Sus scrofa: one gene and its partners. The protein of the gene in region 1 interacts with the protein of each later gene in a biochemical or structural test. Links are inferred from orthologs where the notes say so. Each region holds a gene or a part of one and is shown in the gene's direction. Other genes may lie near its edges.

Region 1 (4,669 bases):
GAGCTGTGGTGTAGGTCGAAGACACGGCTCAGATCCTGCATTGCTATGGCTGTGGCGTGAGCCAGCAGCTATAGCTCCGATTGGCCGCCTAGCCTAGGAACCTTCATATGCTGTGGGTGTGGCCCTAAAAAGCAAAAAATAATAAATAAAGATAAAGTACAAATAAAGCATGTGTTGCATAAGGCTGTTTATTTACCCTATGCCTTATGGTCTTTGACTCTTGTTCTTTGGTAATTGACATTCTTCCCTCTCCTCTCAGATGCTGTCATTTATTTTTGCTGCTTCTATTCTTCTGACTTACTTTATCCCCATTTTGGGGGAGACTACTGTCCTTAGTCTATGGATTAAGAAGCATAGCTTTGTGACAGTTGTTTTCTTTCCAAATTAGTGGCTCGTTCACTTGCTTTTCAGTTGTATGCTGGTCCAGACTGGTTCAGATTGTCAGAACTCTGTCAGCCAGTTAAGTGGGATGTGACTGTATTTTTTTTTTTTAAATCCAGTGACAAATTCACTCCATTTTGGTAACTGAAACCTGTGTCTGAAGTGTGCTGTAGTATCACATGAACCTTGCTGTTAGGCCCTTGTTGGAATCTTGGTTTTGCCACCCCATACCTCCATGATCTTGACAAGTCATTTACCTCTCTGGGCCTCCACATTTTCACCTAAAATGAGACTAATAATATGTCCTTAATTAAAGCTGTGTGGATTCAAATGTTATTGCCCTTGAAAGGTTTTGAGAAGTGCCTGACTCGTAGAAAGCGTTCAGTAAATTATAGCTGTTATTATTGTTAAATATAGTTATATTGAAATTGAGGAGGTAACATCTTAATTTGTGAGTAGTACAATAAGCATCTCAGTATAAAATCAATATAACATTTTTACCTAATTTACAGAGAAGTAAACACATGATTTTAATGAATTAAGCCAAAGGAAATTATAATCACTTAATATTATTTTAAAAAGGAGAGCATAGTAACTACTTGTAGTGTCCGTAGTGGAATTTTCTTGAGAAAATTATCCTTGCCTTTAAAAAAATAATTGAACTGTGAAAAGCTTTAAAACATTTAAGAGGGCTTTAAAAGGTAGGCAGGATGGTTTCGTTTAAGATTGATGTTATATAAAATAAACCTAATCTATAGCATTTCTGTATATTTTAAACATCTCTTCATTCTCATTGGAGTTTGACACAAGCTACACCCAGCTTGCCACATAGTCACACATTCACATACTGCTCCATTGTTTCCTCATTGAATGCATCACCAGCATTTTCATTTACTTCTTTCGTTGCCTGTATATTTTATCCTCATTCTCTACCTGCAAGTGTGCATGTACATTGTCTACTATTGCTGATTTTCAGTTTTATAACTATATGAGTTATATATAAAGGAAGTTATTGTTCTTGGTATTATATATTAGCCATGCATTTTTCATGTTACTCTGTTAAAAAGTTTGTGTACCAGAAGTTGTTAAATTATCATGTGCTATGTATCAGTGTTATTGCATGCTATTTTATTCTGTTGCTGAAGCACTAATATTTACTTATGATACTGTGTACTTTTGCTTTTTGAAATAATAAAATGATTTCCTTTCTTTTACAGACACAGTTAAATTTGCTTCTGGATAAACTTCGAAGTACTGTGAGTACACTTAAAAAACAAGACGGATTTTAAATGGTCCTCTTAAGCTCTAGTAGTAATTATAAGCATGGTAGACCTGGAACAGTTAAAAATAAGCATAGTAAACCTGGCATAATTAGCATAGTAATAAGCATAGTAAACCTGGAATAATTAGAAATTCACTTAAAACCTAATTCCCTCATTTAAAAAAAAGTTTTTGGGCCAGTTCCCGTAGTGGCTCTGTGGTTAACGAATCCGACTAGGAACCATGAGGTTGCGGTTTCAATCCCTGGCCTTGTTCAGTGGGTTAAGGATCTAGCGTTGTTGTGAGCTGTGGTGTAGGTCGCAGACACAGCTCAGATCCCAAGTCGCTATGGCTCTGCTTAGGCCGGCGACTACAGCTCTGATTAGACCCCTGGACTGGGAACCTCCATATGCCGTGGGTGCTGCCCTAGAAAAGATAAAAAAAAAATAATCAGTTTTTAAAATACTTGTCATTTGATTAGGTTTGTTCTGAAGAAAGGTCAGATATGTATGTGCAAATTATTTTCTAAATATATAGATTCTCTGAGTGTTATTAGGATTATCCTATATCTTCAGGAAGCTGAAAATAATTATTTTTTTAGGATTAATCATAGTGAATAGAATTCATTTTTTTATTCTGGTGGTAACATTCTCCAACACGATGGTGTTGATATGGAAAAAATGGACGTAATACCTAAAGGTCTGTAATAGAAGCAGTATTTCCTAGGAGCCTTTAAAAAAACAAAACAAAACTAGATGTTTTAGTTCCCTTTGTTTTTTTAAAGAAAAATTCACCACAGAAAAAAATTTGATATGTGGGTTATGTAAATGAGACATAATTTCAAGAGAAGGCTTATTTTTAAAACAAATCCACAGAGTTTAACTGAGTACTCTTCCTTTTCAGATAGTCATTTTGAAAAGCCAAATATTTATTTTCTCTGTGCTATCATTGCTTAACTTGTTAGACTTCCTTTGAAACCATTAAGAAATTATTTTGAATATCCTCATTTCTTAAAGTATTCTCACTGCAGATATTTATCTCTTAAGGATCAAAGTTGTTTAAAAACCAAGTTTGGTGAGGAGGTACTTATTTTTATTACCCAAATATGCTTCTGTAAAATGGTTAGATAACATTTGTGATTTTAAGAAAAGAAAGACTTGGGTCTTCCCACGTGGAAGAGATGGAACCCTAGCCACACCAGTGACCTGAGCCACTTCCGTGACAACCCCAGATCCATAACCTGCTGTGCCAGAAGGGAACTCCAGGATGATATTTCTAAAAAGCATTCTAAAAGTGTTTGCAGCAAGCATCATTGTTGCAATAACTATCCAGTTTTGGAAGATATCAACTCTGAAGAGGAACTGCTACTTGGATGTCTAATATACTAGCTTCAGTACCCAACACTTTCACTGTGTGCTTATCAGTGTTCTTTCTGCCTCATTCAGCATTACATTATGTGGTCACTGATTTTAAATGCATACTGTTAAGCTTTTAAAAATAACAAAACGGAGTTCCCGTCGCGGCGCAGTGGTTTACGAATCCGACTAGGAACCATGAGGTTGTGGGTTTGGTCCCTGCCCTTGCTCAGTGGGTTAAGGATCCAGTGTTGCTGTGAGCTGTGGTGTATGTTGCAGACTCGGCTTGGATCCCGTGTTGCTGTGGCTCTGGTGTAGGCCGGTGGCTACAGCTCCGATTAGACCCCTAGCCTGGGAACCTCCAAATGCCACGGGAGCGGCCCAAGAAATAGCCAAAAAAAAAAAAAAAGACAAAAAAAAAAAACAAAAACGAAACTTTAATATGTGCAGAGGTGAAGTTCAGGGACCTATATTTTTAAAGTAGAATGATGAGAAAGGTAGAATTTTTTTTTTTTAACACTTTGGCCTAAATTTGAAGAAGCATAATTTTATTTACTCATCTTGTCATAGAACAGTTTTCTTATCCCAGAAACAGCATATAAATACCTTTCAATGTAGAATATAGTCATGTGTGTCATCTTGCGAAAAGACTTTTTACAATAACACAAGTTTTTTGGCACTCAAATCCAAAATTGTTGTACTTTTCTATTAGTAGTGTATAACAGCTTTACATATAACTGTATGCTAGTTGTTTTAATTTCCTTAGTGATGATCTTAAAAGAGGTTCATAAATTAATGGTAATATTCTCTGAAAGTTGCTAGTATTCATTGAAATAGGAAAATAAGAATGTTATTTGTTATTGCTTTTTAAAAGTGCCTTTATTGTCCTAGGGAGCAAGCTTTATTCGTTGTATCAAACCTAATTTAAAGATGACAAGCCACCACTTTGAAGGTGCTCAGATTTTGTCTCAACTTCAATGTTCAGGTATTTCTTTATTTTTGTAATCTGTATTAGTGTGTATTGGGGTCATCATTCAAATACAGTTTAATATGTCCAGTGTTTTCAAACACTTCATAGCTATCTTCATTATTTTTAAATGCAGTAAGATTTTTATGTTTCTTTCATTTATAAGAAGAGCATGGGGAGTTCCCTGTGGTCAAGTGGCTAGGACTTGGCACTTTCACTGTGTGGCCCGGGTTCAGCCCCTGGTCTGGTCTGGAAACTGAGATCCCACATAAAGCTGCTTCATTCTGTGGCCAGAAAAAAGGAAGGAAGGAAGAAACTAAGGGAGGGAGAAAAGGGGGGGAGGCAGAGAGAGGGGGAGGGAGAGAGAGGGGGAGGGAGGGAGGAAGGAAGGAAAGCATAGCCAGCAAATTATTTGAGCAAGATTGGGTTAGAGTTTTATTGTGAAATAAAAAATGAACTGTTTGCCATCATTGCAGTAAAATTTATAAAAGTTCTTTAACTGTAAACCTGGATCTCCCTCTGGGCTTGCTGTCCATGGCCTTCTCAGTCCCAAAGAGGTTAATTCCCTGAGTGTCACTGGGTCGGGGGTTTGGTTCTGGTGTTCTTGCTCTCCCACTCCATCACTTGGGGGAAAAAAGAAAGGAAAACAGCACAGTGCCCTCAGTTTCTGTGAACCTTTTCTGTGCTTGGTTGAACTATTGCTTCC
Region 2 (5,114 bases), on another chromosome or scaffold:
ATTGCTCTAAGAGGTGGATCTGAGAAGATGTTGCTGTCGTTTATTTCGAGAGTGTTTGGCCTATGTTTTCCTCTAAGAGTTTTATAGCGTCTGGTCTTATATCTAGGTCTTTAATCCATTTGGAGTTTCTTTTTGTGTATGATGTTAGGGAGTGCTCTAATTTCATTCTTTTCCACGTGGCTGTCCAGTTTTCCCAGCACCACTTATTGAACAGGCTGTCTTTTCTCCATTGTATATTCTTGCCTCCATTGTCATAGATTAGTTGGCTGTAGTTGCTGGGAAGAGTAGCACTTCTGAAAAATTCTGCTTATAAGGGTTCACTGCCGTATTTACATTGCTTAAGAGACACAGACAACCACTGGAAGGTTGCTACCAGTAAAGCCAGGTGATTACTGATATTATCACACTATCTGTAATCTAAGGAAATTGGTACTAAATGTTCTATAAAGGTTCTTCTGAAATCTATCAAGTATGATAAACAGAACAATACCAAATTCAAATATTTCAATATATAGGAAACAAATCAGTTAGCAGATATTGAGAACCCTTATTATCAAAGGCATTGTAATATTAAATATGTTGGAAGTAAAGTATATTGAAGAAGATTTTTGTACGTTTTGAATTTAGAAGATGCTTCAACATTTGACCTGATCTAATTTATTATCCTTTCTTCACCTGTGATGTTGCAAATTTTATCAGGGTTTGACGGCAACACAAGTACATGATTGTAAGAGACCACACTTGCCCCCGCGGAGTTATGATTTAAACTGAACCCCTACTCTAGGAAGTCATAACAAATGACTTTAGAAATTATAACTGAATAAAGGATACAGGACTAAATAAATTCATGCACGCAAAATAACGGATAACAAAAGCAGTTAACTCGAAGAAATGCGGGTAGAACGAGCAAGAGGAAATAGAATCATAAAGCACTGGAATTGCAAACTCCTAAGGGAAACCGAGGTTTCACAAGGAATAAAATCTCATTGTTAAGCAAGCACTGGGCTGGGCCAGGAGTTTGAAGAGAGTGATGGATTGCAGCCCCAGCCACGCGGTTGCTCTTTCGCTTCTTTGGTTCTTCACTTTCTGATCCACAAAAGAGATTCGCTTGGACAGATTTTTAAAGATCCAGACAATGACCTGGTGCCAGTTTAAACACTATCCTTTCCACTTAACTGGTAAATTCCTTGAATTTCCGGTCAAAGTAATAATTAAAAAGCCCAAAGGACCCTGTTTGTTTACGGCCAGGTCTCTGAGCAAAACCGGCAGGGCGGAAGAGGAGTAACAGCCGAACCGACGGTGAAAGCCGGTAAGGAATTGCCCGTGGCCCGGCCACAGGCAACTAACTGCCAAGGTGATTTAACGTCCAGAACAACCTGGTTGGTGTTCCAGCTGACCTCGCGTGGCTGCGGCGGCGGCGGCGGAAGGGGCGTGTCCCTGGGCGGAAGTGACGTGCTCCGGCTTTAGGCCCGGGGAGGAGGTGTAGCCGGTCGGTAGAAGGAGGCTTTGGTGGCGGAAGAGGATCGGGGCTGATGGCGGCTCAGGCTCAGAAGTCTTTTTAACACCCTTATCTGCCCAGGAGCTGCCCACTCGGTAAGCTCTTTCCCCTGCCTGCCCCACCGCCTGGCGCGGGGCGGACCCCCGCTGGAGCTCTTTGGGGGTTCGAGAGACTCCCCCCCTCAGTAGAGACTAGGGGCCTGGCTGATCTCGGGAATGGTCGCCCTGGTGACGAAGCTGCCTAGTGACAGTGCCTTCCTTCCCGGGCTGCGATTGTGACGGGGGTGTGGGCCACTTCGGTTAGCAGTGGAGTTGGAAAAAGCGACCGGTGGCCGCCTCACAAGGCGGGGAGGCCCTGGGCTAGGCCTTCGCAATTTGGGGGACCTGTGTGGGGCGTGGACCCTTTGGCTGGGGGCGAGTGACGCGGTGGGCCCCCCGGAGAGGACCCTGCCTCGCCCGAGGCTCAGCTGCGGGGTGAGTGTTTTGAGGGCAGCGTGTGTGCTGTCGACGTAGATAAACTTGGGAAAACATCTAGGTCGCCTCGGGTGGGACGCTCGGGCTTGCCCGTGAAGGGTGAAACCCAAGTGTTTTGGTTTGAGTCGCCGGCAGATTAGGAGGCGGGGACTCGGTGCGCCGCCTACGTCTCGGGGCCGCGGGCTGGGTTAGCTGTTTTGGTTGGATCACCGACTTCACCTGGGCCGCTGAATTAGCAAACACTTTTCTTTTGTTTATAAGTGGCTCTACGCCGAGTTCTCGAAGGGATGTTTTAAAATCTTGGGAGGAGAGCCACGTTTGTCTTTGCTTAGGCAACTTTTCCTGATTTCACAACTCTCCCTCCCTCCGGCACCCCGGAGCTCCGCAGGTTGTGTACAAGTCCCGGCAGGCGTTCGTCGTTTCGGGGAATCTTTATTAAGAGATTAGTATGTGCGTGCATGTTCTGATAAACATTTATTACCTGATTGATAATTTGGGAACGCTGTGACGTTTGACTTTCTACGTACGCTAGGTTTTTAAGTTTCGGAAAGTAGTTAGGAATTGCTGTTAAAAGTCAGGCTTGGGAAAATCGTAACTTTTCAACTCTGCATTCCGCTAATTGTGGAATATTTACAAGATGCAGGAACAATTGCTAATTGTAATTTTGGAGCTCAACTCCAAAAGCATTTAGAGAGATCATTTGAGTAACATGTTAATCCAAGAAGTGAGCTAATTAACCTTAAAGTGCTATTTCCCGCATAGAAGAGGGCTGAGGCCAGTCTTTCTTTTCGTGCTTATCAAGGATCCACTTAGGAGTTACCGTCATGGTTTAGTGGTTGGCGAATCCAAGTAGGAACCGTGAGGGTGCGGGTTCGATCCCTGGCCTCTCTCAGTGGGTTAAGGATCAGCGTTGCTGTGAGCTGTGGTGTAGGTTGCAGACGCGGCTCGGATCTGACCTTGCTGTGACTGTGGTGTAGGCCAGCAGCTACAGCTCGGATTGGACTGCTAGTCTGGCAATCTCCATATGTCGCTGGTGCGGCCCTAAAAAGACCAAAATAAATAAATAAATAAATAAATAAAAGGATACATTAGAAATAACTTACTAGCTTTGGGGTTTTTTTTTTTGTAACGTCAAAGAATATCCTATTTTTATTTTTTAGTCATCACATTTTTAAATTGCACACTCCTGTTGACAATAATGGCTGCAGCCGTTTGTGTAGAATTAAACTGTAAATGCCTTTTCCTTAACAAAATAACAGATATTTTGGAATTCTAAGTTTCACCCTTTTTTTTTTTTTAATTTTTTTTTTTTTCCCCACTGTACAGCAAAGGGGTCAGGTTATCCTTACATGTATACATTGCAATTACAGTTTTTCCCCCACTCTTTCTTCTGTTGCAACATGAGTATCTAGACATAGTTCTCAATGCTATTCAGCAGGATATCCTTGTAAATCTATTCTAGGTTGTGTAGTTTCACCCTTTTTAATGATATATATTTATGAAAGATTGCAACCATGCTCCTTTTTTACTGCTTTGGAGGAATTATCTTACATGTGATGTTTATTGAATTGCATCCTTTTGGAATTTGGATACTACTCAGTATCACTCTTGGCTTTTTAAAGTTTATTTTGCCCCATACAAACTCCTACGAGAAGATAAAGATTCTCTCCCCTCTAATATATATGGGCCAAGACCATGGCTTTTTAGAAACCAACTTTTAAAACAATATAAAAATTAAATATAAGTGGTGACACCTGGGCAGAATAGCCTGCTATTCAGCTGTGAAGAGTTTTGGAGATAGGGAAGACTGTAAGAGTGCACATCAACAGACTGATTCTTTTGTTTCTGCCTCCCAGAAAGATTGTTGATAAGAATTTTTTGGTTTGTAAACCAGCTGATAGCCTTTTTTTTGAGCTGAAGTGTGAATAATTGGAAACTATTAGAATATTAGACTTATTTTTTCCTTCCTGATGTTCAGTTTCCTCTAGGACTAAAGTTTGGAAATAAATTTAAAAGTTCATCCCCCCTCTTTGGCCTCTCCCGGATGCTTCTATGCCAGGGATCAAGCCTGAACCACAGCAGTGGCAGTGATGGGTTCTTAACCTCTTGAGCCACCAGGGAACTCCAAAAGTTCATAAGTTTTTAACCGAAAAACTTCCGTTAAGTTAGTCAGCTACTGTGTGTAATATGTTTCTATTGAAGGAAGTCGTACTGAGTTTTTATTACTAATCTTTATTTGTCTACTTTGGTTTTATTAACTTTTATTATGGTAATTTTCATACATACATGAAAGGAGAATGGAACAGTTAAAGGAACCACTGTTTTGCTAATCTTGGTTTATTTATTATTTATTTATTTATTTATTTTACTAATCTTGGTTTATTACCACCTCAGCACATTTACTGTTTCCCCTGGAGTTTTTAAAGCAAATCCTGGACATAAGGATATTTCACCTATAATTAGGTTATTTAACTGATAAGAACTTTGAAAAAATACAGTCACTATAATAATATCAGTAGAACATAATCACCTTATATCTTTTTGAATTCTAAGTGTTAGAATTGGCAAATTATATGAAATATTTAAATTAAGAAGCTTAATTTGACTATGTTTTTGCACAGAAATTCTTAGTATGGTCTTTTTCCTACTTTATTTGATTAAGGCTTACATTTTGGGCTGGTCAAGTAAAATGAGTATCAGTAGCCACTGGAAAAAAAACTACCACAAAAGTCAGATCTGTTTTGGGCTTGAAAAATTGCAAGATTGAAACTGAACAGGGCCCTGTGGGGTGCCTGGGCACAGGCCTTTCTGTGTCCCCCATTTCTTGTTTTTAGGGTATAAGCTTCAACCTCCATGACCTTCCCTCAGTTCCAAAGGGCAGGTTCAAATAGTTGGTAATCAGGGGAGGGAGGGGGCGCAGGAACAGTCAAGAAACTATAGTGCATTCTTGGGTCAGGGTCCTGGTTCTTCCTCAAGGAATGTGCATTAACAATATCTTTGAGTTCTTCTGCAGTACTACCCCCCCCCCCCCCCCCCGCAAATTAAAGCCAGAGAGAAGGACCACCAGAACCAGTCCTGGGGCCACTAACACCAATTTTGAAAATGATTACAGGCTTTCATCTACCCTAATCTTTATCTCTGGC
Region 3 (5,244 bases), on another chromosome or scaffold:
CTTCAATCCAGGAGGCACTAAAAGTCACATTGCCTTGGATAAAGATATATAATCCTCTCTCAGGAAAGAGGCCTAAGTAGTTTCTAACAATAAATAAACCTACTATAGGTGAGAAATTATTCCGCTGACCAACTGTAATATCTTTTAGTAGGCCAGTGACATCATCAGGGTTGCCTTTGGGTATGAGATGAATCTGGAATGGGGGGGGGGTGGAGAAAAGAATAAAACTGCATAGGTCCAGGCAGGAGACAATGACAGGCAGGCTAAAGTCGTGACAACTGGCCCTCTCTTTTGGGACCCAACTCTCCAGTCTTTATTCTGAGACCTACACAAGCAAGTGGAGGGGAAAATCACCTATTAGGGTGAGGAACAATGAAATCACTTTATGTAAGTATCTGGATATTGAGGAAAACAGGACCAGTTCTCAGGTTAGGCTCAGAAAACTATGAGAGAGAAGGTGATTTTATATTCCGACTCTACTCTCTTCCTTGAACCTATCTCCTCATGGACCTCACGATTTCCATCCTTGTTGGCCAAATGCTAGCTCACAGTGCTCTCATTTTGTCCCAGAGAGGCCCAGGTCTCCCCACCTATTGTCTCCCCAAAACCCTCCCTTCAACACCCACTGCCTCTGGCTTGAGCCTTCTGCCTCAACCTACCTTCTTCAAAGAAGCACTTCCCAATCACCAATGTCATCCCCATCATCAGGGCGTGGTTAGTTAACTGGCTAACTGTTCCCGCTAAAAACACTGTTCACTATAATGTTACTTTACTATCTTGAAATATTTAGATTTTGAATGAATGTCTCAGGGAGTTCCCTGGTGGCCTTTCAGGTTAAGGATCTGGCATTATCACTGCTATAACTTAAGACACTGCTATGGTGTGGTTTTGATCCCTGGCCCAGGAACTTCTGCATGCCATAGGACGTGGCCAAAATAATAATAACAATGATAAATGAATGTCTCAGATGGAGAATACCTTCGTATCCAAAAAGCAGTCTCTTACATAAGCCAGTTGAGGGAGATGTTCTTAAGCAAGGAAAACAATTAGGAGTAGGTCTTAAACCCAAGCCATGCAGGCAAGTTCTCAGTGTGTTAGCCCCCATCTCAGCCACTTCCTAACAGAGTATGTGAAGTGTGTCCTATGCTGTTTCCTGGTCTGCACAGATGATACCAAACACCATTCTCTTATCCTAGAAATACATTTTAATGAGAGTAGCACATTCAGAGCCAGAGACCAGTGCCTGAACATTCCAGAACCTATAATGATCATGCTGCGTGCTACAAAACTTCTGATGGTGTCAGTTCCCTTGCTGTAATACTCTCATACCCACTGACAAACTTTCTAAGTCATTGTTTTTGATGGGAATAGAAAGGCAGAGAAAAAGGTGACTCTGGACCAGCACTGGGTTGGTAGATAACAGTATATCTGGCCTCAGCTTGAGATGCAAGATGTCTTTCACCCACCAGAGCATCAGCGCCCTGGATTGAGGCAATTTTTTTTTTTTTTAACTCAGTGATTCTAACATCTGCCTCTTGGGTGAATAAATAACCCAGCACCTTCCTTCCAGTGGCATCAGGTCACACAGTAATCTTCATCACACCATCTTCCACAGGCACAGAGAGGCAGAGGCCTCCTACGGCCACAGCACCCAGATTTTCTGCTCTAAATAAGCCGTGCATCCAGTTGGACCTGAAAATATATTGCCTGCAGCCAGTTGCTCCTGAGCCACTGCTGAAGTCGTGCAACAATTATCAATCCAGCAAGGCTAAAAGACAAGTCACCTGGAGGCCTGGTTACTCTGTGGCTTGGCAGCTCTACCACCACATCGGTGCCACTCTGCCTTGGACTCTGTGGGACTTTTGGCATCAGATTCCCTTCCACGGAAGGAAGAGACAGTCACTGCTTCTACCACAGGTGAGTTAAAAGGCATCTGTTTTTGAATAAATTTCGCCCAGTTTGCATGGAGGGAGGCAAGATCGAGAAAGCTGAGCTGAGCTGAGAGAGGCTGGGATGCTTGGGCTGACTTGGCAGATGACAGGTTTTGTTACAGATTTCTAAAATAATGTTGCTTTAAGAACAGAAAGAAAGCCCAGCCAAGAAACATCAACAGTAAGTTTTCCTTCTTTTTCCCCCCGAAGATATGCTGAAGCCAGGTTTAATTTTATGTCAGGAAAGAATTCCCTCCTGAGACTTTCCTGGCTACGGTTCAGTTGAGGATAATGTTTTCCAGCCATGCTTCCAGAGCCCCTCAAAGACTGAAGGGAAAACGGCAAATAGGCACGAAGCCTCACTTTGAAGCAGCAGGGGGAGCTGTTATGATAAAGAAACTGGGTGGTTTCTTCTTGGTCGGAGGTTATTTCAGAAATTCAGGCAACGTTCTCTACATTTTATTTTCAGCACCGGGGAGTACCTAAAGAATAAAATATTTACAGATGCTAGCAGATTTTATACCTCTGACTTTAATGCAAAGACTTCATGTTATATTTTACATCAAAAGGGAAGAAGTTGCTAGCATCTGCAATGCGTGACTATGCCGTGATTACTTCCATCAGCATGTAATAAAGCATAGCTCATTCGATATATTGCAATTCCAAAGTCCCTGATGGAAGTGGATGTTTAATGTTGGACTTCCAGGGCATAAAAAAGAGCCATTGTTACAACCTCACAAAAATTTACCTACCCTCACCACATAAGGCATCTCAGTTCTGCCCAGTAATTATTTCTGTCCAGTAATTTTGGTTTTCAAATTGCTTGAGCCCATTTAAAAACTGAGAGAGAGAAAGGTAGGGAGGCCAGACTCACTACTTATCTTTAGAAACAGCCTTTCTTCCATTTCTTATTGGGTTGTTTTGAAGTCCTACTTACAAACGCACAATGTGACTTCGCACAGAGTTAAGAATTAGATGACTATGTTATTTGTTGCTATATGTATTATACTATGCTACTTGCTACTATATGTTACTATGAAAATGTTAATGCATTTTAGCTAATTCTCATGGCCACCTACCTCTGATGACTTGGTTCCTTCTAGCATCAACAGAATCCTTATGCATAAAACCTTCTGAGGCTAAAATTTGACAATTATCAGTGTTTCTTGTACACATTTCTGTGATTGTTGCTTATACATTATTGTCGAGGATGCCCCAGGAGTAGAAAAAAATAGCTTCCAAGGAGAATTGGCTAAAGGGAATGCTAAAGTTCAGGGAAGCCGAGTCCCAGAGAAGAAGGAGATAAGGGGGGAATTGGCTGAAACATAGAGGATTCAAGAGAAGAAGCAAATTTCACTGAGGAAGTTGAAAAATCAGAGACCTCTCCAAATAGGTGTATGGCTAATGCAATACCTTAAAGACTAATATTATATCGTCCAAGGAATTCCATTACAGCAGAGTGCCTCAGATTTTCAGAGGGATTATGGGAAAATGATCTGAGAAAGCAAGAAATTGGCCAGAAAATAGACTAATAAAGGGCTGGCAGGAAGAGAGTTGACAAACAAGTGATACGCCAAGCAATATATATGTGTGCAATGGAGGTGGAAGAGTGAGAGAACAGAGAGAGAATTAGACAGAAGTATTTCAAGGATAGCTGTTACTATTTTATAATATCATGAAACATTTTGCGAGAAGAACAAACACATCAGCTATCTCTAAACATGGCTGGCTTATGTAATATATCTCCTGATATGCTAATCAGCAGTTCTCCATGGTTCCAGAAAGTTCCAGATCACCCTGAAACCAGTTAGGCACTCATTCTCAGCTGTGATCTGAGTAGGGACTTCCCTTTGTCTTCACTTTATTTTTATGCTGTGAGCTCCTTTGGGTCAGAACAAGACTGCCTTTCTGCATGTCCTCCATGGGGACCTTTGACCATGTTCTGATCCCCAGAAGGTCCACTAGGGAATATAGTGAATGGTGTTACTTGTCAGATTCAGAGATAAATCAGTAATAGAAGGAAGGTTTCTTTGATAGTGGTTTGGGGTTGAATTTGTTTCTTTCTGTGCAAGGTGTCTACAAATTTCAGTGGGTTTCTACATGTACCTAAATTAGAAAGCATTGCTAACTCAGTAAGAAATGTGAAGCCTTTGTATTTATAAATCATTCTTCCCAGCTGTTCTATAATCAAGTATTAATTCTCTACTGGGAGGTAGATCTCTTCAGGCATCTGAGGCAGCTCCAAAATTTCCCAGTTGTTTCCAAATATTAAGCCTCAGTGCAGTCAGTCATTAAACATGAGTTTATCTTTACCTTCTGCCCTCCTCCACTTTCCCAGTGCATGTATGAACTGGCACCCTGCCTAACTGCAGGCCTATCTCAGGAGCACTACCACCTTGTATTCCCCTCTAAGATTACTCCCCCTGGGTGTTGGGCTGACGGGAAAGACAGAGAATGAAGAGTATTGTGCCAACAGGCCACTGTGTAACATCTCTCTCTCGGCGAGTGCTGATTCTCTGGCCACAGCCTGGCTGGGGGTGCCCTCTGTGTGGCAGGCCTCCAGATTCTGGCTTTCTCTGGGGACTAGAGATGTGAGTTCTTTGCGCCCCAATCTTTGAGAAGTTGGAAATCCAGCTCAACCCTTTGGAGCTCTTGTCACTGGCCATATCCTCTATAGCCTTCTGCAGCTGAGGTGCAGTGGGAAACTGTCTTGGAACTGGGGTGAAACAACCTCAACTATGTTCTAAGTAGCATCCACTTGACCCACAGAAATCTCCTAACTTGACCATTAAACCGGGTGCCCCTAGTTTAACACTGCCCTCCTCTCTCCCTCTCTCACCAAGATTCAGAACCCCTACTCCTATGATAGATTCACAGCAAGTGCACAAGTAGGGGACCAAATGATACAACAGTCTTTGTGAACCATTCTCTTAGAAGCCCTAAGGAGACCTTAGGGAGAAAGACAGGGTACCCTCGTGTCCATTCACCATGGGAAGGGGAGGGAATTGCCTCTCATCTCATACAAACTGTATTCTAATGACCCTTGGATTTACCACCTCTCTCTCTAGCTCCCAGTTTTATCACGTAGCCGATGGAGGTGGTAGTAGCTGACCACACACATCACTTTTTAGGGAGTGTTCGCTTTGACTCCAGTGTCTGTCAGTGCAGTTATTGAATTCTTTCTCTGTCCTCACCTTGAGTCCTATCTGCCAATCACAAGAGTCCCACTGACAGCGTGTTGCAGATTGAGAGTAAACAGAATTCTTTAGCAGAAAGAAAATACAGAGTAAATATTTAGGATGGGAATTTGGAA

Evidence for each region.
Region 2: the proteins of MYO6 (region 1) and TAX1BP1 form a complex in vitro, tested with the Homo sapiens proteins (5 studies listed by BioGRID, with this or other methods). The link is inferred for Sus scrofa from reciprocal best matches to the Homo sapiens genes MYO6 and TAX1BP1.
Region 3: the proteins of MYO6 (region 1) and DAB2 form a complex in vitro, tested with the Homo sapiens proteins (7 studies listed by BioGRID). The link is inferred for Sus scrofa from reciprocal best matches to the Homo sapiens genes MYO6 and DAB2.

Annotation. Positions count from the first base shown.
Region 1 is NC_010443.5:90,029,121-90,033,789, reverse strand, and holds part of MYO6 (unconventional myosin-VI), read left to right. Parts: intron 1-1,598; coding exon 1,599-1,637; intron 1,638-3,887; coding exon 3,888-3,981; intron 3,982-4,669. UniProt on the Homo sapiens protein: Myosins are actin-based motor molecules with ATPase activity. Unconventional myosins serve in intracellular movements. Myosin 6 is a reverse-direction motor protein that moves towards the minus-end of actin filaments.
Region 2 is NC_010460.4:44,906,587-44,911,700, reverse strand, and holds the start of TAX1BP1 (tax1-binding protein 1), read left to right. Parts: upstream 1-1,435; 5' UTR 1,436-1,593; intron 1,594-5,114.
Region 3 is NC_010458.4:24,773,259-24,778,502, reverse strand, and holds the start of DAB2 (disabled homolog 2), read left to right. Parts: upstream 1-1,565; 5' UTR 1,566-1,917; intron 1,918-5,244. UniProt on the Homo sapiens protein: Adapter protein that functions as a clathrin-associated sorting protein (CLASP) required for clathrin-mediated endocytosis of selected cargo proteins.